Cricetulus griseus: one gene and its partners. The protein of the gene in region 1 interacts with the protein of each later gene in a biochemical or structural test. Links are inferred from orthologs where the notes say so. Each region holds a gene or a part of one and is shown in the gene's direction. Other genes may lie near its edges. The genes, in order: Mad2l1, Rev3l and Ubd.

The links.
Region 2: the proteins of Mad2l1 (region 1) and Rev3l form a complex in vitro, tested with the Homo sapiens proteins (2 studies listed by BioGRID). The link is inferred for Cricetulus griseus from reciprocal best matches to the Homo sapiens genes MAD2L1 and REV3L.
Region 3: the proteins of Mad2l1 (region 1) and Ubd form a complex in vitro, tested with the Homo sapiens proteins (2 studies listed by BioGRID). The link is inferred for Cricetulus griseus from reciprocal best matches to the Homo sapiens genes MAD2L1 and UBD.

Annotation. Positions count from the first base shown.
Region 1 is NC_048601.1:76,483,433-76,493,250, reverse strand, and holds the start of Mad2l1 (mitotic spindle assembly checkpoint protein MAD2A), read left to right. Parts: upstream 1-3,792; 5' UTR 3,793-3,921; coding exon 3,922-3,994; intron 3,995-4,317; coding exon 4,318-4,464; intron 4,465-7,177; coding exon 7,178-7,298; intron 7,299-8,159; coding exon 8,160-8,263; intron 8,264-8,987; coding exon 8,988-9,160; 3' UTR 9,161-9,167; intron 9,168-9,262; 3' UTR 9,263-9,818. UniProt on the Homo sapiens protein: Component of the spindle-assembly checkpoint that prevents the onset of anaphase until all chromosomes are properly aligned at the metaphase plate.
Region 2 is NC_048595.1:262,228,685-262,238,394, forward strand, and holds the start of Rev3l (DNA polymerase zeta catalytic subunit), read left to right. Parts: upstream 1-4,758; 5' UTR 4,759-5,090; coding exon 5,091-5,229; intron 5,230-9,710. UniProt on the Homo sapiens protein: Catalytic subunit of the DNA polymerase zeta complex, an error-prone polymerase specialized in translesion DNA synthesis (TLS). Lacks an intrinsic 3'-5' exonuclease activity and thus has no proofreading function.
Region 3 is NW_023276806.1:228,536,114-228,545,956, reverse strand, and holds Ubd (ubiquitin D), read left to right. Parts: upstream 1-3,252; 5' UTR 3,253-3,795; coding exon 3,796-3,813; intron 3,814-5,121; coding exon 5,122-5,589; 3' UTR 5,590-5,966; downstream 5,967-9,843. UniProt on the Homo sapiens protein: Ubiquitin-like protein modifier which can be covalently attached to target proteins and subsequently leads to their degradation by the 26S proteasome, in a NUB1-dependent manner.

The DNA of each region.
Region 1 (9,818 bases):
AGCCAGGCAGGCCCAGAGTCTCTCTATGGACTGTGCTGTCTATGGGTCCATATGTAGAACTCTCATGATAACATTGCAATAAATGCTATATAAATAACAAATGAAGTAGATAACAAAACGTGGTAATGCTTCCTGATAATAAGCCATCTAGTTATTGTAAGAATTTATATTAGTTTTCAATAATTTTTCATACTTAATTTTTACTAAAAATTTACCACGTGTGCAATCATGTCATTAAAATTATAAACTCTACCATTATGGAAATATATCTGTTGACCTTTTAAAGCAATGCTGGGTCTGGAAAGATGTCTCAGCAGTGAACAGTGCTTGCTGCTTCCCCAGAGGACCTGAGACTTGTCTCCAGGAACCAAGTTCCATGACTCACACTCCAGCTCCAAGGGATATGCCACCCTCTTCTGGCCTACACAAGCACTGTGCTCACATGGATAAACCCACATTCAGACATACACATACACAAATAATAACACTTAAAGCACTGATAATTAGTTAAATGTCATCATAAAATTTGTTACGTGTTCTTGTTTGAGCACTTGAGTCCCATATCAAAGAATGCTGGGGGCGGGCGGGAGTATGAGGAAGGGGAACAGGACTTGAAGAGAATTACACTCTACAACTTACTTGTGAAAACCATGTAAATATATGTATATTCATTAGACATATTAAATGAGCCTTGGTAATCAGAACACGAAATGAGTGCTTTATAATTCTTGTTGTTCAAGTGAACAGTATGCTCTGTAAGAAAAAGTAAGGGGTGAGGATGCAGCTCAAAGAGCGCTTGTACGACGTCCTTGCTTCAATTCCCACTACTGAATAAATGGGGCATGGTGACACATACCTGTGATTCTAGCAGTCAGCTTGAGGAATCAGGAAGAGAAGACGCTCTGGTCATCCTTGGCTCCATAAAAAGTTTTCAGCCAGCCTGGGATACATGGGAGCCCGTTTCAAGAACAACACCAAAAAGGAAATTGAGTAACACTAAGTTTTGGGACAAAAAAAAAAAACAGAACTAAAAAACAAACACTTCAAATCCACATAATGCAACCCCAGTATAAAAATATTATTTTAAAGAAACTTCAGCAGATTAAAACTGCTCAAAAATATGATATGTATACCCGGTTTTGTGGGATTTAGAATAAACTACTTAGTTTCAAGAACCCATTTACATGTATTTTCAATATGTATGGTGCACATATATTATATTTCAGACTGCTGGCCCATTTCATTCTGAAGTTTCACACACACACACAAATGCCTAAAAACTATTAACAAGCATTCAGCTCTAGTTTCAAAGGTTTCATTGTACAGGTAAACACTGCCCTCTTCTGGCAATTGTAAATATTTGTGTATCTACACAAAATTTTTTATAGCTTATTATTGCACATCTGTAAACAAATTATGTCCTTAGCCCGAATCTTGCCCCCAGCCAAAATCCTCACAATAATAAAGAAATTTATTGGCATGTTTCAAACAACTCTGTTTTAAAAGGACACTAAGGTAAGCAGTCTAAACTCTACAATAAATCTGCCCCTAACTAGATACTGGTTCTTGGACTAACTCTGTAACTACCCTAGATCTTAGTTCCTATCTATAAGATTACTTAACTAAGTCACTAATGGAGTTCTTCGGCCTTCATGTGCTTCTAGATTTAGAAAAATATCAAATAATTGTTTTTAATACCCTAATATAAAATATAGGCCTACTTATGACATATCTCCATATTTATTTGTTTTATTAATAAGAGAATGACTGTTTATTGTTTGGATTCGCTTTATCAAAAAAGACTCAATTTTTACTCCTCCCCATTCAAACATCCTTTCCCTAAACAATACACAGCAAGAGTTCACTGAATTATGAGGAAAAGTAAACTCAGTCTAAGAAGTTTCAAAGAAACATTTTATAGTATTGCTTTTGGTAAGGGGAGGAGTGTTAAATCAAGTGCTCGAAAGTTAACAGTTAAGAAATCAACTTTCAAAGATTCCAGAATCTTAAATGTTGCTGTGATTAAGTAATTAGAAAAATCCACCATTTGGGAGTACAGGGCATTGTACCTCAGCTTTACCCATGCCCGTTTCATTCGTCTTCCTCATCTGTCATCAACTCTTGCTCCACAGTTTCGCTCTCTGATGTAACCCTTATTCCATCTCTCTGGCAACTATTTAATTCAGGCTTCTTAAACATTCGTATTATAATATCTGTAGTAGTCGATTGGTTTCAAAGTGTGATCTGTGTACCAGCATTAGAAACATTTGGGACACTTGGAAGACGTGCCATCTCCTGGACCCCGTACACTGTTCAACATAAAAACAGTAACATGGGGCTGGAGAGATGCCTCAGCGGTTAAGAGCAGACTGTTTTCCAGAGATTCAATTCGCAGCAACCACATGGTGCCTCACAACCACATTGAAGGAGATCTGGTGCCCTCTGCTGGCCCGCAGGCACAAGACTGTATACATAATAAATAAAATCTTTAAAAAAAAGTTTAAAAAAAAAAAAAAAAAAAACAGTAACATGAAGCCCATGTGTAACTTTACATGCTCTGGTACAGGCTTTAAATACTCAAAAAGGAAGAGCGTTTGACCAAAGAACTTGAAAGCAAGCTATTTTAATTACAAAGAAAGGGATTCTTGTATGCGTGTGTGTGTGTGTGTGTGTGTGTGTGTGTGTGTGTGTGTGTGTGTGTGTGTGTGTTGAAGGGATTCTCGTGCGTGTGTGTGTGTGTTTACTGTGTGTGTGTGTTTTGAAGGGATTCTCGTGTGTGTGTGTGTGTGTGTGTGTGTGTGTGTGTTTTGAAGGGATTCTCGTGTGTGTGTGTGTGTGTGTGTGTGTGTGTGTGTGTGTGCGGGATTCTCATGTGTGTGTGTTGAAGGGATTCTCGTGTGTGTGTGTTTACTGTGTGTGTGTGTGTGATTCTCGTGTGTGTGTGTGTGTGTGATTCTCGTGTGTGTGTGTTTACTGTGTGTGTGAGTGTGTGTTTACTGTGTGTGTGTGATTCTCGTGTGTGTATGTGTGTGTGTGTGTGTTTCTCGTGTGTGTGTGTTTACTGTGTGTGTGTGTGTGATTCTCGTGTGTGATTCTCGTGTGTGTGTGTGATTCTCGTGTGTGTGTGTGTGTGTGTGTGTGTGTGTGTGATTCTCGTGTGTGTGTGTGATTCTCGTGTGTGTGTGTGTGTGTGTGTTGAAGGCACACACCTTACTGGCTTTACTGGCTGAGCCTTCTCTTGTACCCAGTCCCTATTCTGATATTTCTCCAGAAAATTCGCGTTCCCACACAAAACACAGGCTCTCCCAAACTGCAAACTATCCACGAAGCTGAGACTACTTCGGGGATATTCGGACCTGGACTTAGCCGGCGAGCCTTCCCTCCGTCACCCTGGGGCTCTTCCTGGACACCCCGTCACCCTGGGGCTCTTCCTGGACACCCGACCAGAGGCCCCACCCACAGCGACCCTCCCGGGCGGGAAGCCGGAGAGCGCGGAGCCAGGCCCACTCTGCGCCTGCGCAAGCAGCGAGGGCGGAGCCAGGGCCGGATACAAGTGGCTCTGGGCGGAACTTAGGGGCCGCTCTCTGGTCCTCGAGGGACTGCGTTCACAGCGGAAGCGGCGCTTCTGGACGGAATCTTGAGAGCAGACCGTCCTTAGAGGGTTCAGTTATGGGGGAGGGACTTAGGGCGGAAACCGGAAGTATGGGGCGGGCTTAGGGAGAAATGAGGCGTTTATAGGACGGGGCCGGGGCCGGAAACCGGCGGTGTAGGTGGGGCTTGCGGGACATTGCGCTTGCGCACGGAGCGCCCCGCGGGCTGCGTAGTTATTTTTGAACCGGGTGGCGGGGAATAGCTGAAGGAGCTGAGCCGGGAGGGCGCGGTGTGCGGTGAGGCTGACAGCGGTCTCCGTTAGATCGAGTGATGGCGCAGCAGCTCGCCCGAGAGCAAGGCATCACCCTGCGCGGGAGCGCGGAGATCGTGGCCGAGTTTTTTTGTGAGTTTTGAATGCGGCCGGAGAGCGGCCTGGCCGGGACCTAGGACGCGCTAGGGCGGAACCACCGCCCGGTCTCCTGCTCGTTCGTGCCGTGGCGGAGAACGGAGGGGCCTTCCCTGGGGCATCGTGCCATTCGCGCTTTGAAAGCCGGGGTCTGTGTTGACATCCGCTCAGCACATGTGTATTTGCACTTAGACTGCGGTGTCGTGAGAGTTGGCATTGCTGGGTTGAAGGTTTTCCGGTGTCGTTTTGTGTCAGCTCTGCTTTCTGGAAGACTTGGAAACGTGAGTAGGTGTTCACTGCTCGATTCCTTTCGTTTTCAGCGTTTGGCGTCAACAGCATTTTGTATCAGCGTGGCATATACCCGTCGGAAACCTTTACTCGAGTGCAGAAATACGGACTCACCTTGCTTGTAACTACTGACCCCGAGCTCATAAAGTATCTCAATAATGTGGTCGAACAGCTGAAAGGTAATCACGTTTTGAGTTTTACCTCTGACAGGGTTACGTTTACGAGGGTGGCTTAAAGCAATATGCCTTCTCAAATACAGCGCTTCTGGACTGGGAGGGAGGAAGTAATGGAGGGAAATCCCATCCTTTCTCCCACTGCTTTTAAGTAGCCTGAGTGTATTGATGTTAGGCGTCTCGGAGTCGGAAGTGTCTTATCAGCTGCTTTAGGAATGCATTTTGCGGTTTAAACAGGTACAACGAGTTGATGGTTTTACACGAGATGATTTTGCTCTTCTTAGACACCCATTGATATGCTGCAGTTGTTGTAACCAGGGTATTACTAAATAACAATATACAGGAAAGTTCCGGTTTTACTTTTCAACTATTCTCTTTATCTTCCTTAAAAGCGGTGGCTGTAATTCAGTATCTGGACAGTTTATTTATTCATTCGTAGCTCAGTGTTGTGCTGCCTGTTTGGCCAATACTTATTCCCACCTATTTCTATTCCTTCTGGAATCCTTGTTCCTCGTGTTGCACACCACTTAGGATTGCCATTCTAATTATAATAATCTTTTCTGTGTTTAGCCTTGTATCTCCCAACAAAGTCTTATAAAAACCAATTCCAAAAGCATTACAGCTGTCTTTTTTCTCTCTAGTTTTTCATGTGTTTGGGTGTTTTTCCTGGGTTATGTCTGTATGTACCAGGTGCATGCCTGGTTCCTTAAAAGACCCGAAGAAGGTGTCAATTCTTAGGAAGAGCACCACTGCTCCTAAGAAATTTTTTTTTGCAAAGATGTTTTAGTTTGTTTCTATTGTAGTTTCATTACAGTGTTCATTGCATTTTTTTTTTGTTGTTGTTAACTTTAGCATTAAAATGACCTTCTTTTGGTGACCAGCTGAACATAGACATCTCTTTAAGGCCATATTTTTTTTGTTTTGTTTTACTTTTGAGGCAGGGTCTCTCAAAAGCTCTTGACTATCCTGAAATTCGATAACCTTGAAGCCCTGTAGATAAAGTTGCTCTTGGTTGAGAACTTCTTTGATAGATTAGACAGCTAGAATAGGAAAGGTGAAGTACTTGATAAATATGTGGAGATAGATTTCTATTCTCAAGTGCAAGCAAGATACGTATACGCTGAGAGGAGCAGCCCATCTCTCATTATTTTCCCAGATTGTGGGTCAGGGTGGAATCATGTATGGTCATTGGATGTCACTCATACTTGACCTGGAACTGCTAGATAGCTATTGCTAGGTGTCATCACCATCATCATCATCCTGGTTCAATAGAGAATCCAGCCTTAACTGATACTGGGGTTACAGGTTGTCACTGGTGACATTGTACCTCATCTACATTTTTGTTGTCACTCACTTCTCCTGTCCTAGTTAAAACACAGGAATTGCTCTTTATGAATAGGCAAATTGTTCTCTTTCTTTTCAGTCCCATTTCCTCTAGCCTTTTTAGAAGCATTTTACTTCTTTCTTTCTTTCTTTCTTTTCTTTCTTGTATTTTCTGTTTCTCTGTTATGATTTCCATTCTTCCTGTTGGTTTCATCTCCCTCCAACTTTAATCTTACAAAAGAAAAATGATGTATACTGAGTTGCTATCCCAATTTCAGTATTAACTCAGGGTTCCATCTGAGATCCTCTTTATAATTGCTAGATTATCTGTGCCATTCACAACTTCACTACCAACTTTTATGTGATTAAGCTAACCCTCTACTCCAGACTCATAAACAACGTGACATCTCTGTATGCTTTATACTCTGCAGAATAAAAACTAAATGTAGGATGATCTCGAGAATTGTTCATTAGTTACTAGGTTAACAGTCCAACGAGAAATGAAGTCTGAAACCTGAAAGCTACCTCAAAATGATTCTTTTTGGTTTTTCTAGACAGGGTTTCTCTGTGTAGCTTTGGAGCCTATCCTGGCACTCGTTCTGGAGACCAGGCTGGCCTCGAATCAAAATGATTCTTATTGAAAGCTAATCAGATAATCTTAACAGTTTTAAGCATGAAATTGCTTTGTTCCCTCTCTACCGGTTTATGCTATGAACTTTGAATCCTAGTGTCTGTAGACCCTCTTTTTACCCCCTCCAGCTAACTTACTACCAAGTATGATAGTTTGGAAACACAAGTTTAATTGTTCACTCTGCTTAAAACACAGTTGTGGTTTTCCTGATTCTTAAAAGCATAGTTTCATTAATTCCACAGATAAGATTTTACAGGATATAGCATCTTGATTTTTCATAATAGTATATTCTTCCTTGTCTTTGTAATTTTATTGTCCTGCCAATTTATATATGTTCTTCACTTTTGGGTATTTAAAGCCTGTATTTCCCTCTCCTTTGCAGAATTAACGAAAAAACTAATCTTTCCTTCGCCTACCAGAATGGATCAGATTTTTTTTTTTATGCTTTTATACTATCTCTCTGTTCCTAACAGCCACCACAGATGTGACATGACAGTTGTATTGAAAATGGTTAGATGAAAGCCTATACCCTATTCCCTTACTGTGAGTTACAGTGGAAGTACAGGTTCACTGTGATGCCCTTGGTTGCACCTGTTAGTAATGGGAAGAATTTAAAAATTGCCTCAATTATTAGTGGGAAGCTTTTCCCTGTAAATGAAAGGAAGTCCAAATTACCATTGTTCGAATTTTGTAAAGCTAAAAAGTGGGTCTTTAGAAGAGAGTTATGTTGCAGTGAGAATGTAAGTGATGCCCTGTGTGTTGCAGAGTGGCTCTACAAGTGCTCTGTTCAGAAGCTGGTGGTGGTCATCTCAAATATTGAAAGTGGTGAGGTCCTTGAAAGATGGCAGTTTGATATTGAGTGTGACAAGACTGCAAAAGAAGATGGGTAAGTTTGGATTAAATTATTCCTGCTTGGTTTTTCACAGCTTCTGTTGTTACATGAGTTCAAATTGTTTTGGACTGATTTCTTACCCTCTTTATTTATGGTAAGCTTTTAAAGATACAGGCTTGGGAGGACTTGAGTTCCTCTTAGCCTGTCAGTGGTTGTATAGATAAGATGCTTTTAACATTCTGTCTTTAGGCAAACCCAGTGAAATTTGACCTTTGTATTTCTGGTTATACCAAAACCATGATATAATATATTATGGGGACTATTTAATACTCGCTTAAAGGTACTGTTAACTGCAGGAAGTGAGCCTAGACCCGTCCCTAACTTAGATGTGGCTCTATTCCATCTAATGCCGTGAACTTTGTAAACTGTAAGATTTCAGTTGCTCTACATCAGAAATTTCCTTAATGCTAGACACACTTTTCTATAAGTTCCTATAATGAAGAGCAGTTTGCTCTTTTGTCTGTAGGAAATTTTTAGCTTATGGAAGTTTTTATGTGTAATTTATTTTACTTGATTTGATAAGGAATTAGGTACTTAGATGTTACTAGAAGAAAAAGTGCCAAAATTCTACCAAGTTTCTGTGTTAGAATCCATATCCTGAAAGAGTTAGTGAACCTGTCGTTATCGGGGTGGTTGAGAAACTTAGTAATCGTCATGCACTGAATGACCTGACACTAAATTCAGTCCTGAAGGATGATGGGAAGGACAGATGCAGATACAGTAGCCCAAGAATATCTTTAGTCTCCTAATATATTGCTTCTGTGCTGTTGGGAGCATTTTGTTCAGATAAATAGTCACCAGTGTATTTTAGTTAACTTAATGAAACCTAGAATGAACTGTTTGGTTCTCTTATAGTGTTTGTAGAGAAAAGTCACACAAAGCCATTCAAGATGAAATCCGTTCAGTGATCAGGCAAATCACAGCTACCGTGACCTTTCTGCCACTGCTGGAAGTTTCTTGTAAGTATTATACAATCTCTTTATTTAAATTTGCGTGGGAAAATGTATGCTGCTGTTGGGAGGATCCCCATTTGTTTAAACCTCATAATTTATCACTGCCTTTAAATATAAATGGGATACAGGAAGCAGAATGCAGCACAAAAAACAGATGTGTGTTCCAGAAAATGTGAGTGCAAGGACCGAGGAAGTGGCTTAGTGGTTAAAGCACTTGCTGAGCAAGTGTGAGGACTCAGTTAGGATCCCCACTTCCAGGACCCTCCAGGTGGTTTTGGGCGCCCACCTCTAACTCCAGCCCAGAAAGGCAGAGATGGAATCACCCAAGCAACCTGGCTACCAAAACTAGCCATCTTGTCAGTCTCTGGTTTGCATGAGAAGCCCTGCCTCGGTGAATGAAGTGGAGGGGTCATCAGTCATTAGCTTGGGGCCTCCACATGTGCGCCCCACACACTCAACAAAATGAAGGGGAACAATGAAAATGCTGAAAAATTAAGATAGTCTACAGTTCTACGTGAAAGCTTTCTCACAATTCCTTTTACTATTTTCACTTTCTACTACAAAGTATACTCCTCTGTTCTAAACTCATGTTTTCTTGAGGAAAATTATAATTAGAGCAAGATAAGCTATCTCCTTAGGAGGTAGGGTTCAAATGAGTCCTGGTGAGCTAGGTGGGGAGGACAGCTTCATTTTTAAAAAGTACTGTGCTTTAATCTCATTCCCAACTTAGGTTCATTTGATCTGCTGATTTACACTGACAAAGATTTGGTTGTCCCTGAAAAGTGGGAAGAATCAGGACCCCAGTTCATTACCAATTCTGAAGAAGTCCGTCTGCGCTCATTTACTACCACAATCCACAAAGTGAATAGTATGGTGGCCTACAAAATCCCTGTCAATGACTGAAGAGAAGGTGAGGAAACAATGGAATTAGCATTCTCTAGTGTCTTTTTCCAGATACCGAGTCAAATATAGTTGATGAATTTTCTTCCCTTGGTTCATTTTCAGGTGAAGAAAGCCAGGATCCTACTTTGATAAATGTGCCCATGGTTCCATTTGTTGGGTTCCTCCTGGACTTGCCATAGAGTCAACATAACAAGATTGCTGCAAATTATTAAGGGGAACCAACAGATTTTGTCAGAATTGTGGAGTGGATTCCTGTAGAAGTGGTCATTGTAGATAGAAATTCTTTTGTTAGAAAGCTAAATACATCCCCTAACCAGTTAGCTCAGGAATCTTGACCAGAGAAGCATCTGAATGTAAATACAGCAGAAGGAACTAAAGCTGTGTTTAGTTCTGAGTCATGAATACTGCCTTGCTGGGCCCATTTGTCACTTCTTTTTGTATAGACTCACATTGAAATACATGCTAATTGATTTCAGTGTATATACCTTGAACTCACAAAGCAGTTGATACTGTTTAATTTCTGTAATAAAGAACTCTTGTTTTAATGTTTCATAAAAAAAAAATCAAGCTTTAAATGACAGTGATACAACAAAAAAACTCCTGTGTCTTAAAATTTTTGTTATAGTACCTTTGGTAAATAGTGTGGTGTTATTATATT
Region 2 (9,710 bases), on another chromosome or scaffold:
AATAACATACAAAGAGCAATCTAGAATTCTTTCTTTTTAGTCCTTCTTTACTATCAGTAAGCAGAAGGTAGAAAATATTGTTAGAATGTATACATATGAAGATATGAAGAAGGGAAATAAAAAGTTGAGTTTGTGCTGAGTTTACACAGTTGTGACATCACAAATACAAATGGATATGGAAGACATGAAATTCCAATTAGGTAATTTTGGTCCACATGAGTGAAATACTGTTTTATTTGCATTGAAAACTCCTTTGTACAATATAAAGATGAATAGTGTAATTCATCATAAGAATTTAAATTTTCATTTTTTCCCTTAAACTTACTGTCATTAAAAAGCAAATTAAATTGGGGGTGGTATTGTATGCCTATAACCCTAGCACACAGGAGGTTAGGACAGAAAGATCACATGTTGCAGGCCAGTCTAGGCCACAAATCAGCAAATTTAGAAAACACCATGGCCAGTGAAGGGAGAGAGAGGAGGAGGAGGAGAAGGAGGAGAAGGAGGAGGAGGAGGAGGAGGAGGAGGAGGAAGAGGAGGAGGAGAAGGAGGAGGAGGAGAAGGAGGAGGAGGAGGGAGAAGAGGAAGCAGTGACAGCATAATAGTTTAGTACAGAAAATGACATTTTGTCTCTGGAGTGGAACCAGAAGCTACATTTTCATTTTGCTCTGAGGTTCACAAATTATGCAACTGGACATCACTGGGCTAGTTTAAGTAGTAAAGGATTAATGGATACAATTTAGATCACAAATCTTTCAAAGCCAGGAAACAAGGTTTAGCTAGAAACAACTTCCAGGAAAAACAATGCCTAGAAGAAAGCACAACTCACATTAGTGTTGTTCTTGTGAAACCCATCCATACATACCACCTGCCAGTCATAATTTCTAACACTGCAAATAAATGTTAGCATTCCCCCCAGAAGAATCAGTTACTGTCACCATGGTGTCTGCCAGAAGACCTCATCTTTCCAAACAGGTGAATTGCTATGTTGCCCACTTTCAGAAACATACCTTGAATCAGTGCATTTGACTGCTGGAAATTAAACCACACACTGAAGCCAGTTTCTGATTATTAGCATCCTTTCCAATTAATTCACATTTACGTAAAATCATTCTGGTGGCTTGGGAGTCACTGTAGAAACTTGAACACTAAATATCAGGTGGTCCATACTCCTTTTGGCTGGTAATAATTATTTATCATCACACCACTAATCTCACGTTAGTACCCTAGCTGCAAGGGAGTCTGAACCAATTTATTTGCCAGCTTATAAAGTATAGAAGAGCAAGCTAGAAGGTTGTGGTTGTTACTCTTCATTGTTAATGTGGTCAGATTTAGAATCACCAAGGAAACAAGTTTTGTCTACAAGGGTATTTCCAGAAAGGTTTAATTGGCAAGGGAAAAACCAACCTGACTGTGAACAGCACTATTCTATGAGCTGGGGTCCCTGAATAAATTAAAAGGTGAAAGTGAGCTGGGCACTATAGTTCATCTTTCTCAGCTTCCTGCCTGGACAAATATAAGCAGCAACCTCAAATTCTTGTTACCACGTCTTTCTCTTATGGACTATTCCTTAGAACTTTAAGTCAAAATAAATTCTTCCCTCTGTATATTTGTTCTAGTCATGTGTTCTGGCCACAATAAGAAAAGTTGCTATTACAGAATGGACGGGTTGTAAGCCAACAGGAACCCTCCACACACACACACACACACACACACACACACACACACACACACACACACACACACACACAAATAGGGTGGTCTTTGCTTACTATTCCAGATAATCAATTGCTCAGAAGCAAATGTTTTCAACTGATGTTGAAAAGTATTGATACAGAAGGTAGGAAGGCTCTGAGTAAATGGATAAGTGTCAGTCAATGAACTAGAAAAATGGACAAATATTAGTTGCTATCATTAAAATACAGTTCATATAATTCTGGCATATAAACTCTGCAAGGATAGAGACCTTATCACCATTTCTCTCATTATCTTAGCAAATGAGAGCCATTTGGAAAAAAGATACTTAAATTCACGTTTGGCATTGTACATATTGTACACAGAGTGGTCATCTGGATGTGAACTATCACCCATATTACTAAATTTTGAGTCTGATTACATGCTTGAAAAAAAATGATTTTCTCATCATTTCATAGATGAGAAAATAAACTGATAGTTATCAGACAAACTCACTTACCTAGTAAATTAAATTTTAAAATGGAGTTCACTAACTAAAAATGCTATAAGTTTTTTTTCCAGGAAGAATATATTTATAAAAACTATTAAATCATGGTTAGGAGACTGTTATCAGGTTTTCTTATTTGATCATAAACTTTAAATTACATGTAACAGAAACAATATTCCTCACCTCAAAGCTGTAAATGTTTTTCAAAAGTGAACACTATTTCCTTGGAGTTCTAGAAAAATGTGAAACGTGATTGTTAAGTGCCTTTTGAAAAAGTAAATAATGTTTCCAGAGGCAACAGTCAAGAAGCTTGTTCTAGAAAGAGCCTAATCTTAATTTGATACCTTTACTTTTCATCAGTTAGAAACAGTATAATTTAAAAATTATGTATGGATTTCATCAAAATATAATACAGGACTCTCAATCTTACACTGCTTGAGATTCACAGGGCTGACTGGTAAGGTTGCTAAGAATACAGATTTCAATTTCCCATCCCCCCAAAATGTGATTTAGTAAGTGACAAAATCACAATTTAAAAAATACTGTAAGCGCCAGAGAACATCATGGAAATCACTGCTACTGTCAATATGACATTCTGCTTGTATATTTATCAGAAAACACATGGTGAGTATGCACTTGGACATTACAGATGAACCTAGGGCTTGTGCATGGCAGTCTTATTTTAAAATCACAACTATAGTATTTTAGTACTTAAAATAAATTTTAAAATATTTCCCTTGTACTAAAGCTGCTAGTAGGTTATGCCCTTGTCTTGCCATTTATTATGATGTGCTTGAGTGTAATTTACAGTATTGATCGGTCTCAAATCACCCTAAGCATAAATTCTTATTAGCATTTATGTTATAGGAACCCTCTTTCAGTGAAGTGTCCCTTTAAGCCTTTTGATTTTATGTGAAAACCTACAATGCCTGCAAACAAGGAGCTGTCATACCACTCCAAATACAAGGCGATATAATATCAGGCAAAAAATCACCTGTATAATTTTGTAAGTGGGACAGAATGAGCTCTACTTTGGATGGATATTGACTGACAAGTGTCCTAATTCCAGTAGCAAATCTCAAAGCTGAATCCATAGTTTTTTTGTCCTACTTCTTAAATCCTTTTTTTTGGGGGGGAGGGGAACAAAGATTAATTTTTAAGTGAAGCTCTCGTTCTACACGAGAGAAAACTTAAGCCTAAAGAGACCAAATTATCTGTCCAAGGTCACGCCCAATTATTAGTGACCAAGCCAAACATAGGTTCTAATTTAATATCCAAAGCAGCAGCATCTGTTCCCTCCACAGCCCCCAGTCCCTAACTGCATCACTCCAAAACCGTTCAGACTCCAAATAAAGTTGGTTTTTGTCTAACGGTCCTACCCCACGCCCCTTTTCTTCTGCGTTAACCCGTAGTAAAATCTTGCACGTGTTCAGAAATACGCGGCGACTTTCATTAGCCTTGTTCCTTACGCCAAACATTTTCTCTGAAAAGCTCTCAGGGCTTACCCCGCGGCCGGGAGCGGAGTGGAGGGAGGTGACGGGGGCAAACAAGTCTTTACGTGCACTCGCTCGCTCCTGCTGGGGTGCAGCCTGCACGGCCGCGGAGGAAACCACAGTCAATGCACTAGTCCTGGAGAGGGGTGCAGGGAGAAGGCGAGCGGGGGGGGGACAGGGGGGGAAAACAGGGGGCGGGAGAAAAACACGGCGGTGGGAAATCCCTGCGCTGTGTATTCGCCAACCCTGGGCAAAGCTGGGCAGGGCCGCGCGTGAATAAATCTCATTAAGTGGCCGGGCGCAGGCACTGCAGCACCGCAGAAGAGGAGGGGGCGAGGCGGAGCGCCGGGCTCGCCCGAGCTGGGGGCGGGGGAGCCAGCGAGCGAGCGAGCGAGCGAGCGAGCGCCAGGGCGGCCCTTTTATAGGCCGAGGCCCGCGCGCCCCCGCCCCTCGCGCTGGCCCGGGCTCCGCGCACGGCGCACGGCCCGGCGTTACCTGAGAAGGGCCGGCTCGTCCCGCGCCCCGCCCGCCCCGCCCCGCCCCGGCCCGGCCGCCAGCCCGCCCTCCCTCCCGCGAGGCCCGGGCCGCACGAGATCTACGCCGCGCCTCCCTTCTCCCGCGGGCGGCTTCCCTTACCTTGTGCGGGGGGGGAAAAAAAAAAATCCTCTCCGCGGCCGCGCCCGCCTCCTCTAGAGGACGTGAAATGGCGGTCGGCGAGGCGAGCGCGAGGAGCCTCCAAAACCCAGCGCCCCTCCGAGCCCATCCATGATATCGGCGCTCCCCCGGCCCCGCCGCAGTGACCCAGCCCACAGGCCGAATCATCGATTCCTCGGCGTGCGCCGCGCGGCCCGGCTTCCCGCCGTGCTCTTGCCGAAGCCGCGCGCTCCGGGCCGGGGAGAACGCCTTCCTCGCCCCCCAACCGGGTCCCCGCCGGGGCGCGCGCCCGGCCCACCCCGCCGCCCTCCCCGGCCCGCCGCCGCCGCCGCCACCCTCGCGCACTCACACTCACACACTCACACACACACACACACACCCCTCCACCCCTCCCCCAGTGGTTGCGTCCGTGACATCATCATCATGGCAACAAGAGCTGCAGCTTGGGACCGAGGAGCCCGTGTGATTCCCGGCGGCGGCGGCCGTGGCGGCAGCAGCAGCGGCACCACCCGACCCGACGAACGCGCCAGGGCTTCTCTCCCGCTGCCTCTCGCCGGGAGCGTGTGAGGAGGCGGCGGCAGCACCACAGCCCCGCACCCCCGGCGCGTCGCCGCTCGTCCCGGCGTCCGTGCGAGGGGAGGGAGGAGGGAGAGAGCCGACCCGAGCGAGAAGGGGAGGAGGCGCCTCTGCGGAGCCGCCGCCGCTGCTGCCGCCGCTGCCAGGTCGCCAGTGGAGGGGAGGCGGTGGCGGCGGCGGCGAACATGTTTTCTGTGAGGATAGTGACTGCCGACTACTACATGGCCAGCCCGCTGCGGGGGCTGGATATCTGCCAATCCCCCCTCACCCAGCTCCCTGTCAAGAAGGTGCCGGTGGTACGAGTCTTCGGAGCGACCCCGGCAGGTAAGCGGGAGCGGGCGGGCGGGAGTGCGAGCGGCGGGGCGCCGGGGCTGCCCTCCCCGCCGCCGCCGCGTAGTCGCGCGCACGCCGGCCGCCGGCCCTCTCCGGGGTCGCTGCGGACTCTTCCCTCTTCCTCGCTCTGCTCGCCTTTTCTCCCGCGCGTGACAGGAGGCGCAGAAAAATGTGGGTTCGTGCGAGCGCTGCGCCCCCCTCCGCGGCAGAGAGGCAGCGGGCGCCGGGTACGGACTGTGCGAGCGGCGGGCGGGCTGGGGCCCCGGCTCGGTGGCTGTGCCTCGTCCCCCCAAGGACGAGTTCGCGGGTGGGTCCTCAGAGGTCGGTGGTTGGTGGGACCCCGGACACCCGCTGCGCCTCCCTAGAGCCCTGTTCTAGAAATGGCTTTGAGCGCTGAGGGGAAGTGTCAGCCCTGTTGTCAGGCGCTCGCTGTTGCCTCTTTTCACCCTCGCTCTCCTCTGCCCCTGCCGGAGAAGCTGTGGCTGTAGAAAGTGGCGCCCGGGGCCAGATAATCTTTCTCATTGAAGTGACCATGTGGTTGTGCTGGAGTGCAGGTCGTGACTGCTTAGAGTTTAATGCCTCGGCGGGGACAGAGCGGCATCCTCAGGTGCAATGCTTTCAGGAAACGTGCATCCGTGGAAATAGGAAATGCGTGCTTGTGTCGCCCCACATAAAATATTACACTTAACGGGGTGAATTCGTTAGGAAACACAGCCAAGCTCAGCAGCAGAGACGTTTTTAAATGCCTCTAGGCTGGGTTGTAGGGCTGCATTTTAAAAATAGAAAAGGGGGGGGGGACTATTTCGAAGAAATGGTGGGAAAAATGACAGAAGCTATGTTCTGGAACACTCGTTGGAATTTATAATATAAATAGGATAGTGGCCAAATACACATGGTTTTCCTGTTTTCATTTTTTCTGTTTTGCTTTTTACATGCTTTTAAACTGTTAACGTGAAATGATAGAGCGGCTTTCTGGAGGAAGATGTTCTTGCCCAGGTTTCGCCCTATGGGATTTTAGATAGCATTTCCCACTTGATGCTCCTTGGCCTCATCGCCACTCATCTTTGTTATTATCGTCAGCTTCTGTGCACTACCAAGATGATACCACTTTCCAAAATGTAGGCCCCCATCCTAAGCTATTACCTTTTAATGTGAATTCTCTTTGTTAAAAATGTCAATGCTATAAATAAGGTTTGGCAAAAGACTCCTTTTTCAAATAGTGGGAGTTTGACGCTGTGAACCGTGGAAGATAGAGAAATCGAATGCTGTTAACAGTTTGTGCAGAGTACAGCCCTTGGTACTTGAAAGACTGGAAGATAAGAGGCATTATACTGTTCTGCAGGATAGGTTTTCTACCTTTTTAAATATCGTGGTGCTGTCTTTGTTTTGATGGGAAACACCCTGCTTGTTCTCGATTCAGGGGCAGAGAATGATAAGTGAAGTTGATTTTCAAGTTGTAGAGCAACATGCTAATAGGATGTGTTGTGGTGTAGCAGTTTGTACGCTGGTTGAGTTGCTCTTCTACAGTTTTGTTTTTCCTGCTACACTCACTAAATATGTATTTCTGGGTGATTTTAAAGGTGTATTATGTAAGAAAGTTTTGTTTGTGGAAATACAGCACAGATTATCACTAACAGCACAGTTTTGTGGAAGAATATCCTTTACATATATATAGACTGTGGTATATACACCTGTGTTTCTGAATATTGGAATGTGAAATATTTCAAAAGAAGTATTTATCTCTTCTTTCCTTCCTGAATATCTTACAATAGGTCACTAGCCCCTAATTAAAAAAAAAAGAAAAAAATCACTGTATTATGGTATACTTTGAAATGTCTAATGTAAATGAATAAAAACATACTTTTCAAACTTCAAATTGCCAGAGATTATCCGGTTGAAAGAGGTAAAATTTATAGGCTTAAACAAAATTTTCTGTTTCAAGCATGACACATGGATGAATATAAATGTCAGTTTAGCACTCAATGATTCATTCATTAATGTATGTTAATAATTTACTTGGTTGGATATGCCTTGGAGCTGAGGTCAAGAGAGAAAACAATAAAATAATTCCTTACATAGTATAAAACAATTCTTGTCTCCTCAACAAGAAGAAAATTGAAGTAGTTGGCATACACTGAACGTCTACAGTTTTCATAAATCAAGCATTTCTTAATGTTAGAAAATCCCAGTGGAATTAATATTAATTCAGTCTCAAAAACTAAGCTGCAGAGTTTTCTGCTTTTGAATTCTCTTCCCAAAGAAAACTAGTCCAGGCCACATAGAGAAATAAAACTTGAAAATAATAATGTAATAGAGAGGTCAGAACATTTTATTAAAAATCTAATGCTTGCCGGGTGTGGTGGCACACGCCTTTAATCCCAGCATTTGGAAGGCAGAGGCAGGTGGATCTCTGAGATTAAGGCCAGCCTGGTCTACAGATCGAGTTACAGGACAGCGAAGGCTGTTGAACAGAAACCCTGTCTTGGAAAAAAAAAATTCTGAATGCTAGAATTTTTATTGAAAACAAATTTACTACTACAAAATGCAGGTAGTTTACATCTTTACTAACAAGCAAACTACATGAATGAAAATTTGTAACATCTGATAAGTCCATGAAGCGCCATAAACATGTCTTCACTTTATAGGTGTTAATTATGGAAGTCCTTAATTCTTTACTTTGGTTTGGAGAAAAGATGTTTTTTAAACAGAATTTGCTTTTCAAAGGAAGGCCTGAAAAATAACATCAGAAGAATATTTCTCTCAAAATGGCTATTTAAGAATTATAAATTCTGAACTGATTGGAATACTGCTATTGCATGAAAAGTAATTTTCTGCTTTAGGAAACAGTCCAGTTAACTTTTGCTGTCCTGTTTTAAGGACATATTTTGCATAATGTAAACAGTGTCTTGTATTTAAAAGCCTCTGTGTTTTGAGTTGGTGAAATTTGCGAATATATACATACTTTTTTTAGGTAACATGTTCATACTTGAAGTTCGACTGATGGGTTTGATCATTTGCTAAGTGAATATGGTGATTTCTTATTTTCATGTGAATGATGAAATTACTTTTAAATTTAAATCTTTGGTTCTTTCAAACTCATTAAAATTTTTTATATTTATTTTCATGAGAGAGAGAGAGAGAGAGAGAGAGAGAGAGAGAGAGAGAGAGAGAGAGAATGAGAATGAATGTACATGGGTGGAGATCAGAGGGAATCCTTCCACCCTGTGAGTTTCTGAGATCAAACAGGTCATCAGGCTTCAGGCAGCAAGTGCCTTTAAAACCAGCTAAGTCTTTTCATTGGCCCTAGACTCATATTTTGTTTAAAAAAAGTTTTGAACATTATTTTGGTGCAACTGTGTCCCAAGCATTATTATTTGTAGAAAAAAAAAGTGTTTTTTTCTTTTATAACCAACATTCTGGTAACTTGTCTTAGTGAACAAAAAGCAAGATTATTACCAAAGTATGAGATCCTGCCTTTTCATTTATACTGAATGTGGGTGTGACTACTCAGGGAATTCACATAGAATCCTACTGAGGACCTGACTCAGGTGAGGAACTGGATGCTGTCCAGTTTCCACATCTCATCCCATGCTTCATTACTTGATGTAGCACCCTTCATGCTGAGCTTAGATGATTCTTGGTTTTCTTAGCACCAGGTTAAATATAGTTACCCTTTCAAAGAGCTTCCCTTGCTGAAAATGCAGAGTTAGGAGTAAATAGAAGAGCTGCTTGCTCTCAAGATTATGATCAGGAATTTCACTACTGTACCTTTCTCTCCTACTTTGAAGTATTTTTATAGATTGTTGGAGATAGTAACATGAAATCAGATGGTTCTTTACAAACATAGATTATAATTCTGAAATCCTACATGAGTATAGGGGCTTATTTGACCCATTTCTCCTTCTATTTTATAAACCTAGCTGCAGTGGACTATTATAATGACCTGTTTTGGTAAGTTGGTAGATTATTAAATACAGTTTTATAAGTATGATTTTGAAAACTATAGCGTTTATCTTAGATTCTCAAAAAATTGAGAATCTTGTTTACTTTTTAGCTAAACACTCAAAAATATCTTAAGGTCATGTAAGACCTATTCAGTTATAATTATTAGAGATTTTCTGGAGCACACAGAGATCTAGTTAGGCTAAAGTTGTCCACTTTAATAAATATTTGAAGTCCCAAATAGAAAGCTTGACTATTTTTATGTAATATATTTGACTGAAGTCATATCAGCAAATCAGAAGCAGGCTGGAGCCCTCTTGAATCTGGAACACTATGGAGAAGCATAGCGTATGTCAACATATTCTGTGTGCCTTTGTTAAAGCAGCGTTACCCTCCAGAAACTCAGAAAATAAGCAGTGATAGACATGGAAGTGTAAATTGAACATCGAATGATTAGTTTGAAATAGAAATGTGTGTAAGAGATAGTGAGGACTCCAAAAGGAGAGTGAGGCGACCACCTGACAGGCAAA
Region 3 (9,843 bases), on another chromosome or scaffold:
AATATGTCTCCTTTTTCTCTGTTGTTGGTATTATAGCTTTTCTTGGTTTGAGATCTATGAATATTTCTTCATGCTGTCTTCTTGAACTTGTGTTCTTTTCCTTGAAATCAGATGATGATAAGAAAGTGGTGGAGCAGGATGGGGACAGGAAGAAAAAGAGAAAGGATCAGAGTCCAGACTTATTGTTTATATTACTTGAAAAGGCACTCTTTCTCAGAACCTAAGTCCTCTCTGGTGGGAAATCCCCCAGATAGCTTCTCCTTCACAGTCTGGAAACCCCCATCGGCAGTGGGTGTTTTCTCTGTTCTTTCCTTCCTTTGGAGGCAACAATAATATGACTAGAAGCCAAGGACTAGCGTAGCAAAGATGTGCACTAGAATCTTGCTGACTAGCTAGTACTTAAATGGGTTTTAAGTACTTTAGTGGGTTGGTCTTGTTTATCCCTAAAGATACCAATTCTTCACCACAACATGAAAACATCAAATTAGGTCATGCTTAATAATCTTATGCAGTTTCTGAAATATAAATTCTCATTAAATATTACTTTTTGTTATTAGTTTATTAATTTATTCACACACTGTATATTTATTAAGCATCTTTCTATGCCAGATAACAAGCTGAGCATGCAAGTGTTCTAAAACACAATCATGGTCTTCAAGGACTCACTGGGGATGATAGACAAGCAGATAGGTGATCCCATTGCTACAGAAAAAGGCTTCAAAAGAATTTAGGAGGAAGTATGGGAGAATAACCCAGAACCAGAGGGAAAGAGTAGGGGCTCTTGGAGGCAATGCTGCCTGTGTTGTGCTCTTACACACTCATGGTGTTGTGAGTAATGTTGGAGGGAAAGGTATGCTTACTGACTGGGGAAGGCAGAGCTCCATGTGTTTAAGAAAATAAAGGAAATGTGTTGATGAAGATGGACCTGCAGATCTGCAGTATCAGACAACAAAAATCATTCCTAATAAAAATCATTGCTAAGAATGATAAACTCGCACTGTACTCTCCTGGCAGCTCTTGGTCAAGGCAGCTCTTGCTACCTGTGACTATGCAAATGCTGGCACCCAGACAGTCACTGACAAGGAAGGACATAAAGTTAAAAGAGTATGTAGCTATAAGCAACATTTTACCATCTACTCTCCCTCTTGCCTGCCTAGAGAAACATGAATATTTAAACGCTTGGGCAGGAACAAAAACGTTCTAAAGAGATATTTATGTTCCTCTCTTTAGCTGTCAAACTGTTGAGGCAATAGGCCTCCCTAACACCCAAATTGGAATTTCCTCAGGAATCTCATGCTGGGAGAAGGAAAAGACTGAAACCTGATGCCAGTCAGATGGCAGAGTAGAGAGCTGGTCTCCTGGAAGGAGATTTCACATAGTTCTGGTAACTTGTCAGGCTACCATGTAGGACAGATGAGAGCCTAAATAATGATTATGGCAAGGACCACACCTTGGTTAAGACAACTTGTTATGAATTCGCCTAGATTCTTCAACACCTACACCTCATGTCAGGGAGTTGAAGATGGACTTGGAGGGTCATTGGACCTCTTTGTCCCTTATTCAAAGTGGTCACACTTAGAAGATAATATGACCACTCTGAATAAATCTCCATTCTCTGCTTTTCACTATTACTGTTTATTTAATTGGCATATGGAGGATGAATGGCCAAGCCTAGGTTGTGAGGGCTTCAGAGCCCAAGTCTTGGCCCAAACAATTCTGAATAAATATACAAGAAGGTAGTGACTTCGGAAAGGAATTAAAAGGTGAAGGAGCTCTTTGCAGACCAAGCTTGGCAGCTTGGCCTTTCTCTTCTGTCAGGCCTTCTCACTATCCCCCTACAAGGCTATTTCCCATTCACCTTCAATCTGAGATGAATTTTTCTGCTGGAGACTGATGATGTTTCTGAATTCCAAGATCCTGTTGAACAGTTGTGGTCAGAAACTGGGATTTTAATCCTTGAGGACAATTGGGAGTTTGAGAGAGATCTGAGAGAAGAGTAGAACCAGCGGCACTCAGTATATTCTACAAGGCATTCTTCCCTTCATGTGAATCCTGTGTTTAAAAAAGTATATTACTCCACCAAATACATCAATAATAGAAGAGCTTCAATATACTTTTCATTAGAATTTCAAAATATTTGAGTAAGCTTTTAGATTGTCTTACTATACCCAGGTACTCTGTAAATCCAAGTTCTTCAGAATGGGACCTTCTAGAATAAAATGAAATTGTTTAAGATCTTCCAGTAGGAGAAGGAGGGATGGTGCCACCCCTAACTAAGAAACTGTTTGTAATTGATACTGCATTGCAAAGGGAAAAATCAGTTTTCTCCAACGGAGTCTCTCATTGGGTAAATTAACCATACTTTACAGTAGGCCTCATATTCAGGAGTAGTTGACATACAGACTAACTCATTGGTATTTTTGTGGGCTTTTTGTTTCATTTTGCTTTATTTTGGCATTTTCTGTCTCATTGGTCTTTTGCTTATTTGTTTTGATTTTCATTTTTGTGGGTTTTTTTTTTTTTTTTTTTTTTGTGTGTGTGTGTGTGTGTGTGTGTGTGTGTGTGTTTGAGAGACACACAGATAGAGAAAGACCATAAAGTTGGATGGGTAGGGAGGTGAGGAGGATGGGGGAGGAACTGAGGAGGGTGAGAGAAATTTCAGTAGGTGAAGGTATTTGTACATAGCCACTGCAAATACTGAAAACAAAGATAATAACTTGGAATTTTACAGGATTCTTTGAAAATATCTAAAGTACTTTTAATAAACAATTTTGAAAATTAGTTCCATGGAATGTCCTGAGAAGCCAGTGACAAGCTTGGAATATTAGGAATATTATTGGTATTAGAGTAATTGGGTAAGTTTCCTGAGGACACACAGCTCACTCACATTCTTGGTCTTATCTAAGCAAATCTCATGAGTGAGGGAACTAGTAGCACCTTCATGTGCCTTTGAGCTCAAGGAGGAGGAAGGTATCCAAGAATCACAGTGGGGAAATCCAGGAACTGTGGTATACATATGGAGAAAGGTGGGAGTCAGGATTTAACTGTTGGCTTTGGATTGTTCTCAAGTAATATGTTTGATTTACAGGTCCTGAGTCAGGGTTGGAAATGTATTAGAGGTTCAAAACCCGAGAATCCAAAGTGTGTGTGTGTGTGTGTGTGTGTGTGTGTGTGTGTGTGTGTGTTTATAAACATTTTATAAGCAAGGTTTTCTGAGCTGGGGAGACATTAAGAATGGCCTACAATTATCTAATTTTATAGACCTGTGTTAAAAGAGGGGAGCATATTTCCATAACATAACTCTGAAGTCCAGGGTCATTTTCTCTTGTGTCTTATACGAATGTCTTATACATTCTTCCCAGTTATTGGGAAAAGGTTCCTGATAGTCTGGTCGGTCAGCACCAATACTACCTGTCCTCTCTGGGTATCCTTGCTTCTAGAGAGGTCTGGAGCTCTTAAAAGCAGTTGGAGAGGGCTACCAAGTATCATGAATTATCAAGCCAGTGAAAGTCAAGGCCAATGGCTGGGCAGTAATAAGGTGGGTTTGGAAGCCCTTATCATAGGAGGGCTATACTATGTTCAGAACTAGGAGTACAGATGGAGTAGACTAAGGGAAGAAGTTTGTACAAAGAGTGTCCATTACTAACTCCACCCCAAAGAAAGCAAAAGGAAATTCTTGAGGACAAAGGTTGTTTCTAAACTGGACAACACAACGGTCTTGGGGATTTCCAACCCAGATACTCACATATAAGCAGACTCCGGGACTCTCTTCTCACTCAGCCTTTCATTACAGACATGGCCTCCTGCATCTGTGTAAGTTGGGGTCTGAAGGGAAAGTATTTCCATGCATTTGGGAATGCAGTTCCACAATTCAGGGGGGTACAGTGCCTGGATGGGGAGGTGGTTGGGTGGGCACAGTTTAAGAGGCAAGGCAGACATTGATAACTGCACAACAGAAAGGAGGTACTCTGGAGAGAGGTTGGTCACTTGGCTTATTGTATTTGTTGTGTATGTACACACACATGCAGGGGCAGGGTCAGAAGACAATCTGCTGGGGTCAGTTCTGTCCCTCCACCACCTAGGTCATAGGGATCAGCTCAGGTGGTGAGGCTTGGTGGCAAGAACATTTTATCAGATAAGCCATTTTGCCAGATAAACTGGGGAGAAATGGCAGGGCACTGTGCTTCAACCAGGATGGGCAAGCTGTGAAATTAGAGAAATAATTTTCAGAGTTCTCATCCTTAAGCTTTTCTCTTTTCAAAGGAAAATTCCCCTAATCTCATTTAAGTTATCAGTGATCTAACATGTTACCTTAAGTGAGACTATGTCCTCATGAAGAGAACCTGCAATCAGGGCAGTGCCCAACACAGGATGACACCTCCACTGAAGGAACAGCTGAAATATCTAGGTTGGGAAGATGTTTTTTTTTAATGGAGTATGAGAAGGTTTCCATAGGGTTTGCAGGCCTGATTCTCCCCCCATCTTCCAGAATTCTGCAGCGAATGAAATTAAACTTAGATATAGTTCCTATCTTCAGGATTAGGATCCTGGTTTAATTAAATGAGGATATTATGCTTTATAACAATAGTTACAAAAAATACAAAAAATATATAAACAATATTAAGCACAGCATCACCACAACCTGGGCATTAACAGAAATTGATGGGAACGTTAATAAGAAAGCAACGGTGTGGAGATTATGACTTAATCAGGGTTCATTCTGAATTAGACATAGAGGGTGAATGAAGCACGGCTGAGAGTATCCTCTGAAGCTGCCACATCTGGGAAATCTGCTTCGGAGTTGTTTAAGAATCTGTATACATCTTTTGAAGCCCTGTATTGTCTTTACTTTTGATATCTGGCTTAGGAGAGGCAAATTAATAAGGTAGGAAATTGGTGATTACATTGGATATATATGTATATATACATATCTCAAGAGGAATGAGACTAATGTTTTAATTTGTGTCATAATATGGCAATTAAACAAAAGTTTCAATAGAGGGAGAGATAAGATTGTTGGGTAGGAGCTGGAGGGCCAAGCAGATGGAACAATGAACGTGAGGGGTAGGGTGTAGAGGGTGGCAGGCATTCTAGGTGACTTCCTTGCCTTTGTTTTCTTAGATTGTCCATTCTGAGAAATGGCCATCAATGACCTTTGACGCTACTGAGAATGACAAAGTGAAGAAGATAAATGAACATATCAGATCCAAAACCAAGGTTTCTGTGCAGGACCAGGTCCTTCTGCTAGGCCCCAAGACCCTCAAGCCCCAGAGAACACTCTCATCTTATGGCATTAACAAGGAAACAACCATCCACCTCACGCTGAAGGTGGTGAAGCCCAGCGATGAAGAGCTGCACTTGTTTCTGGTGGAGTCAACCAATGAAGGGCAAAGGCACCTCCTCCCAGTTCGAAGATCCAGCTCAGTGGCCCAGGTGAAAGAGATGATTGAGGGTGTGACTGGTGTGACCCCCAAGACTCAGATTGTGACTTGCAATGGAAAGAGGTTGGAAGATGGAAAGACCATGGCTGACTACAACATCAGGAGGGGCAGTTTGCTCTTTCTGACAGGGCACTGCATTGGGGGTTGACTATGTGGATGGGGTGATAAGAGGATCAAAGCCCACCCCTTTTAGCTTTTACCAATCACATCCTTTGATGATTTCCAAAAATTAAGGACAATGAAATAAAAATTGGAGATGAGGGGGTGGATTAAAAACATTTGTCAAGTCCGTGATTCCTTGTTTCTGACATACTTCATTGAGTGGCAGGATTGCTGCTGAGAGCGGAAACTGAAATATTAGTCAGGTGTGGTAGTATACACTTTTAATTCCAGGACTGGGGAGTCAGGGACAGGTGGATTCTTGAATAATTGTTGAACCAAATTGAGTCTACTTACAGAGAAGTAATGTATTATGATTTTTTTGCCCCAATAGGATCACAGTCTAATAAATGATTTAGAAATTCATTTACTTATCATCCCCTCTTCTTATTTAAAGATATTTGATATGAAATAAAATCTAGTACCTTCTCCATCTGCTGTGTCTAACACCTAACAAAATGTTCATCTCTGGGTAAGGAAGGGAAGGGGTTAACTTCTGGGTTCTTCTGACTGATAGAACTTCCTTCACCATCAAATAGCTTTCTCCGTTTTCTTTCTATTTGCTCCTCTGTCTCACTCCTGGCCACATGCATGGCTGCTCTCTCATCTTCACCAATTCTAGTCCTTTCTCTTCTTTAAAACTAGTTCAAAAGCCATATCCTGCAGATGGGATTCCCAGCTTAACCAGGCCTGGCACAACTGCCTATACATGCAGATTTTCCTTGTAGTCTTATGCCCTGTGGTGGACACTGGTCACCTGGCTTGTTCTGTATTAGCTGGGCTGGCTCCCCAAGAAGAGAAACTGCATCCTGTTTCTGGAAGCTATTGCTGTAAGGTAGGGCACAAGGACTCTGCCTGATGGCTGAGACCATGGAATTATTCACGGTCTTTTGTAAACTTGGGGAAAACTAAAGGTCAGCACCAGGGTGCCCATCGTCTTATCTCCATGTGGATTCTTCAGGAGTGGTTACCAAGTCTCCTGAGGGTGACGATGTCCCCCTCCTTCATCATGCTTCCCTTCTGTCGAAAGTCTTAAGAGCCGTTTACCCCATCACTATAGTTGTGTGTTTAGATATTTCCGGGATTTCCCCTCAAGAATCCAAATCCTAGCCAGTGAGAGAAAGGGATCTCCCTCTTGCCAACCCTGAACTCCTCGAGGGCAAAATTGCAGATTTTCATGCAAAGACTAACAATATGGTCATCCTAGATCCCCGGACCCTGTGTTCTCCTTAGTCCTCTCACTGTCCGACCTGCCGCCTCCCCAGACTCCTCAAGAACCTCAGTGCCGCTCCCTTCACTTCCTTGTTCCGCAGTGTGTAGATGAGGGGATTGAGCGCGGGTGTGACCACCGTATAGAAGAGCGAGACGAACTTGCCGCGACCCTGGTTGTAACTATATGTGGGTTGCAGGTAAGTGTAGGTGGCAGAGCCATAGAATAGGCACACAGCGGTCAAGTGAGAGCCACAGGTGCTCGCCGCTTTTCGCCGCCCTGCGCGGGAGCGCATACCCCAGACCGCGCGCCCCACGGCGGTATAGGAGACCAGGATGACGGCAGAAGGCACCAACAGGATGACCACCCGCGCCGCGAACATCTGGCGCTCGGTGGCGCTGCGGCCGCCGCGGCAGGCTAGCTGTAGCAGCGCCGGCAGTTCGCAGATGAAGTGGTCCAGACGCCGGGCCGCACACAGCGGACGCGCCGCCAGCAAGGCGGTCTGCGCAGCTGAGTTAGCCAGGCCACCAAGCCAGGAGGCGCTGGCCAGTGCGCGGCACAAGCGGGGTGAGGCGAGTGAGGCGTAATGCAGAGGGCGGCATACGGCAGCGGCGCGGTCCAGCGCCATAACCGCCAGCAACACGCACTCGGCGGAGCCCAGGGCCAGCGATGCGCACAGCTGCGCTATGCACCCGCCGCGCGGTAGCTGCAGCACCGGGCCGCAAAGGCTGGCCAGCAGCGGCGGCACCACACTGGTGGTGAAGCCGACATCCACCAAGGCCAAGTGGCAGAGGAAGTAGTACATGGGTGTATGTAGGCGAGGGTCGCGAATGGCCAGCAGCACCAACGCCGCGTTGCCAGTCAGCGTTAGCAGGTAGCAGAAAAGAACCAGCGCGAAGAGGACGGGTTGCAGTGAGGGCCAGTCCGTAAAACCCAGCAGCAGGAAGCGCTCTGCTGAGCTGTGGTTAGCCTGAGGGGAAACTCCAAGAAGGTTCGGAAGGGTAAGACAAAGAAGTTTAATGCTAGTGGGCTTGGTGCAGGCCTTGCACTTGTGAGGCAGAGGCCACCCTGGTCTACACAGAGTTTCAGGTCAATCATAGCTACACGGTGAGGCCCTGTCTTACCTCTATCTATGACAAGCAAGAATCCCCCCTGTGGGATAAACTGGGCAAGAGAGGAAAAGCCCATGCCCTAATTTTAGTTTCACTACATAGCCACACGCCAGTATTCCTTCACAAGCTCCTCCAAGGGAAACAATGCTTATGTTTAGCAGAGGAGCGGGTTGAGGATTTAGAAAATCATGTGTCACAAGTCCATCGCTAATCAGGTATGCCTCCCTGGCTCTGGATGCACTTCCAGGAATTAAAGAAGAAATTCAGTGTATCTACCAAGGGCTGCTATGAAGACAGTTACTGAAGGACATAATCCACTCTGAGCCTTCTTCCCCCATTTTCCTTAAAAGTGTACACTGTGTAAAAGTCAAGCCTGAGTGTGACTAGATGGAGCAGCATTGCCACTTTGTGTGTGTGTGTGTGTGTGTGTGTGTGTGTGTGTGTATGTTTTCGAGACAGGGTTTCTCTCTGTTTGCTTTGGAGCCTATCCTGGCACTCGCTCTGGAGACCAGGCTGGCCTCGAACTCACAGAGATCCGCCTGCCTCTGCCTCCCGAGTGCTGGGATTAAAGGCGTGTGCCACCAATGCCCGGTTTTTTTTTTTTTTTTTTTTAATTATGGACAGCTAAAGTTGAAGCTAGGAGAGCCTGAGCAGACAAGCCAGTCAAGCCTCACAGGTGACCTTAACTCAGTTCCACCTGCAAACCAAAGTGGAAGCGCTTCTTGAAAATACCTATATTATATAAAAACAGAATGTAAGCTCAGCCACTTAGAAGCAGCCAACAAATATATGTAGCTATAGACTTTTCATGTGAATAGACCAAATACAATAATTGTAACCATCAAATATTTTCTTTTTCTTACCCTCCTTCCCTCCCTTTCTTTCTTCCTTTCTGCCGCCTTTGGTCCCGTTTTTGTACCTGGCAGCCTCTGTGTTTCCTTTCTTCCTGCCCTTCCTGCCCCACCTCTCCCTCCCTCCCTTCCTATCTGCAGGGTCTCATGAAGGTCGGCCTTTAGCTCCCTTTGTAGCAGAGGGTGATCTTGAACTCCTGACCCTCTTGTGTCCACCTCCAGAGTGCTGGGGTTATAAACATGTGCCACCATGTCCAGCCTCCAAGCAAATGTTTCTTTGTTTTACCTCTATGTTTATCCTACAAAAATGTTCCATTTGTTTTTCCACTGTGGCTCACTAAACCACTTCCTCCTGATTCAGGAGCAACTGTTTGCTCAAATAAACTCTTTAAATGTTTATTGTGCTTCAGTCTCCCCTCCCCCCAACTCCGCTACGCTTTGAACTGAGGATTGAATTGGGGGCCTTGTGAACGATAAGCATATGCTCAGTACTGAGCTATACACTGACTACAGGAATTTGTATTTTAATCCGTTATATTATTGTCTAATCTGTGGAGGTGACTTATAGAGCACAGGACCTCCTGCTGTAAATGTGGTGGTCACCACAGAATAGCCTGGTCAAGATAATTTCCTGTCAGAGAGGAAAGAGAAGACCTTAGTCCTAGCAAGCACAGTCAACTCTAGTTGGCTATTTGGGTTATAGAATTCACACTTCATGGCATTCTGCCTCAATTTTGTCACGTGTATGTGGGGGAGGTTGAAGTGGATGATTTCTTGGGTCTATCCTGGGCTTTCCTGTCAATCATTTCTCAAACAAATTTAAAAGAAATGAAAGAAACATAGAGAACCTCATTTTCATGGCCTAGGTATTGATGCTGAATCCAATATCTGGTGGCATGGAAACCATCATAGTTGATGGACTGGATAAAATTTACATAAAAATTTTTCTATGCATGTTTCCTGACAGATAGTATCATATATGTAACTTATAAACACACTCATAAACTTTTAATATATATTAAATATATTATATATTTATATATAATAATAAAAGCCACAATCCTCTTGGC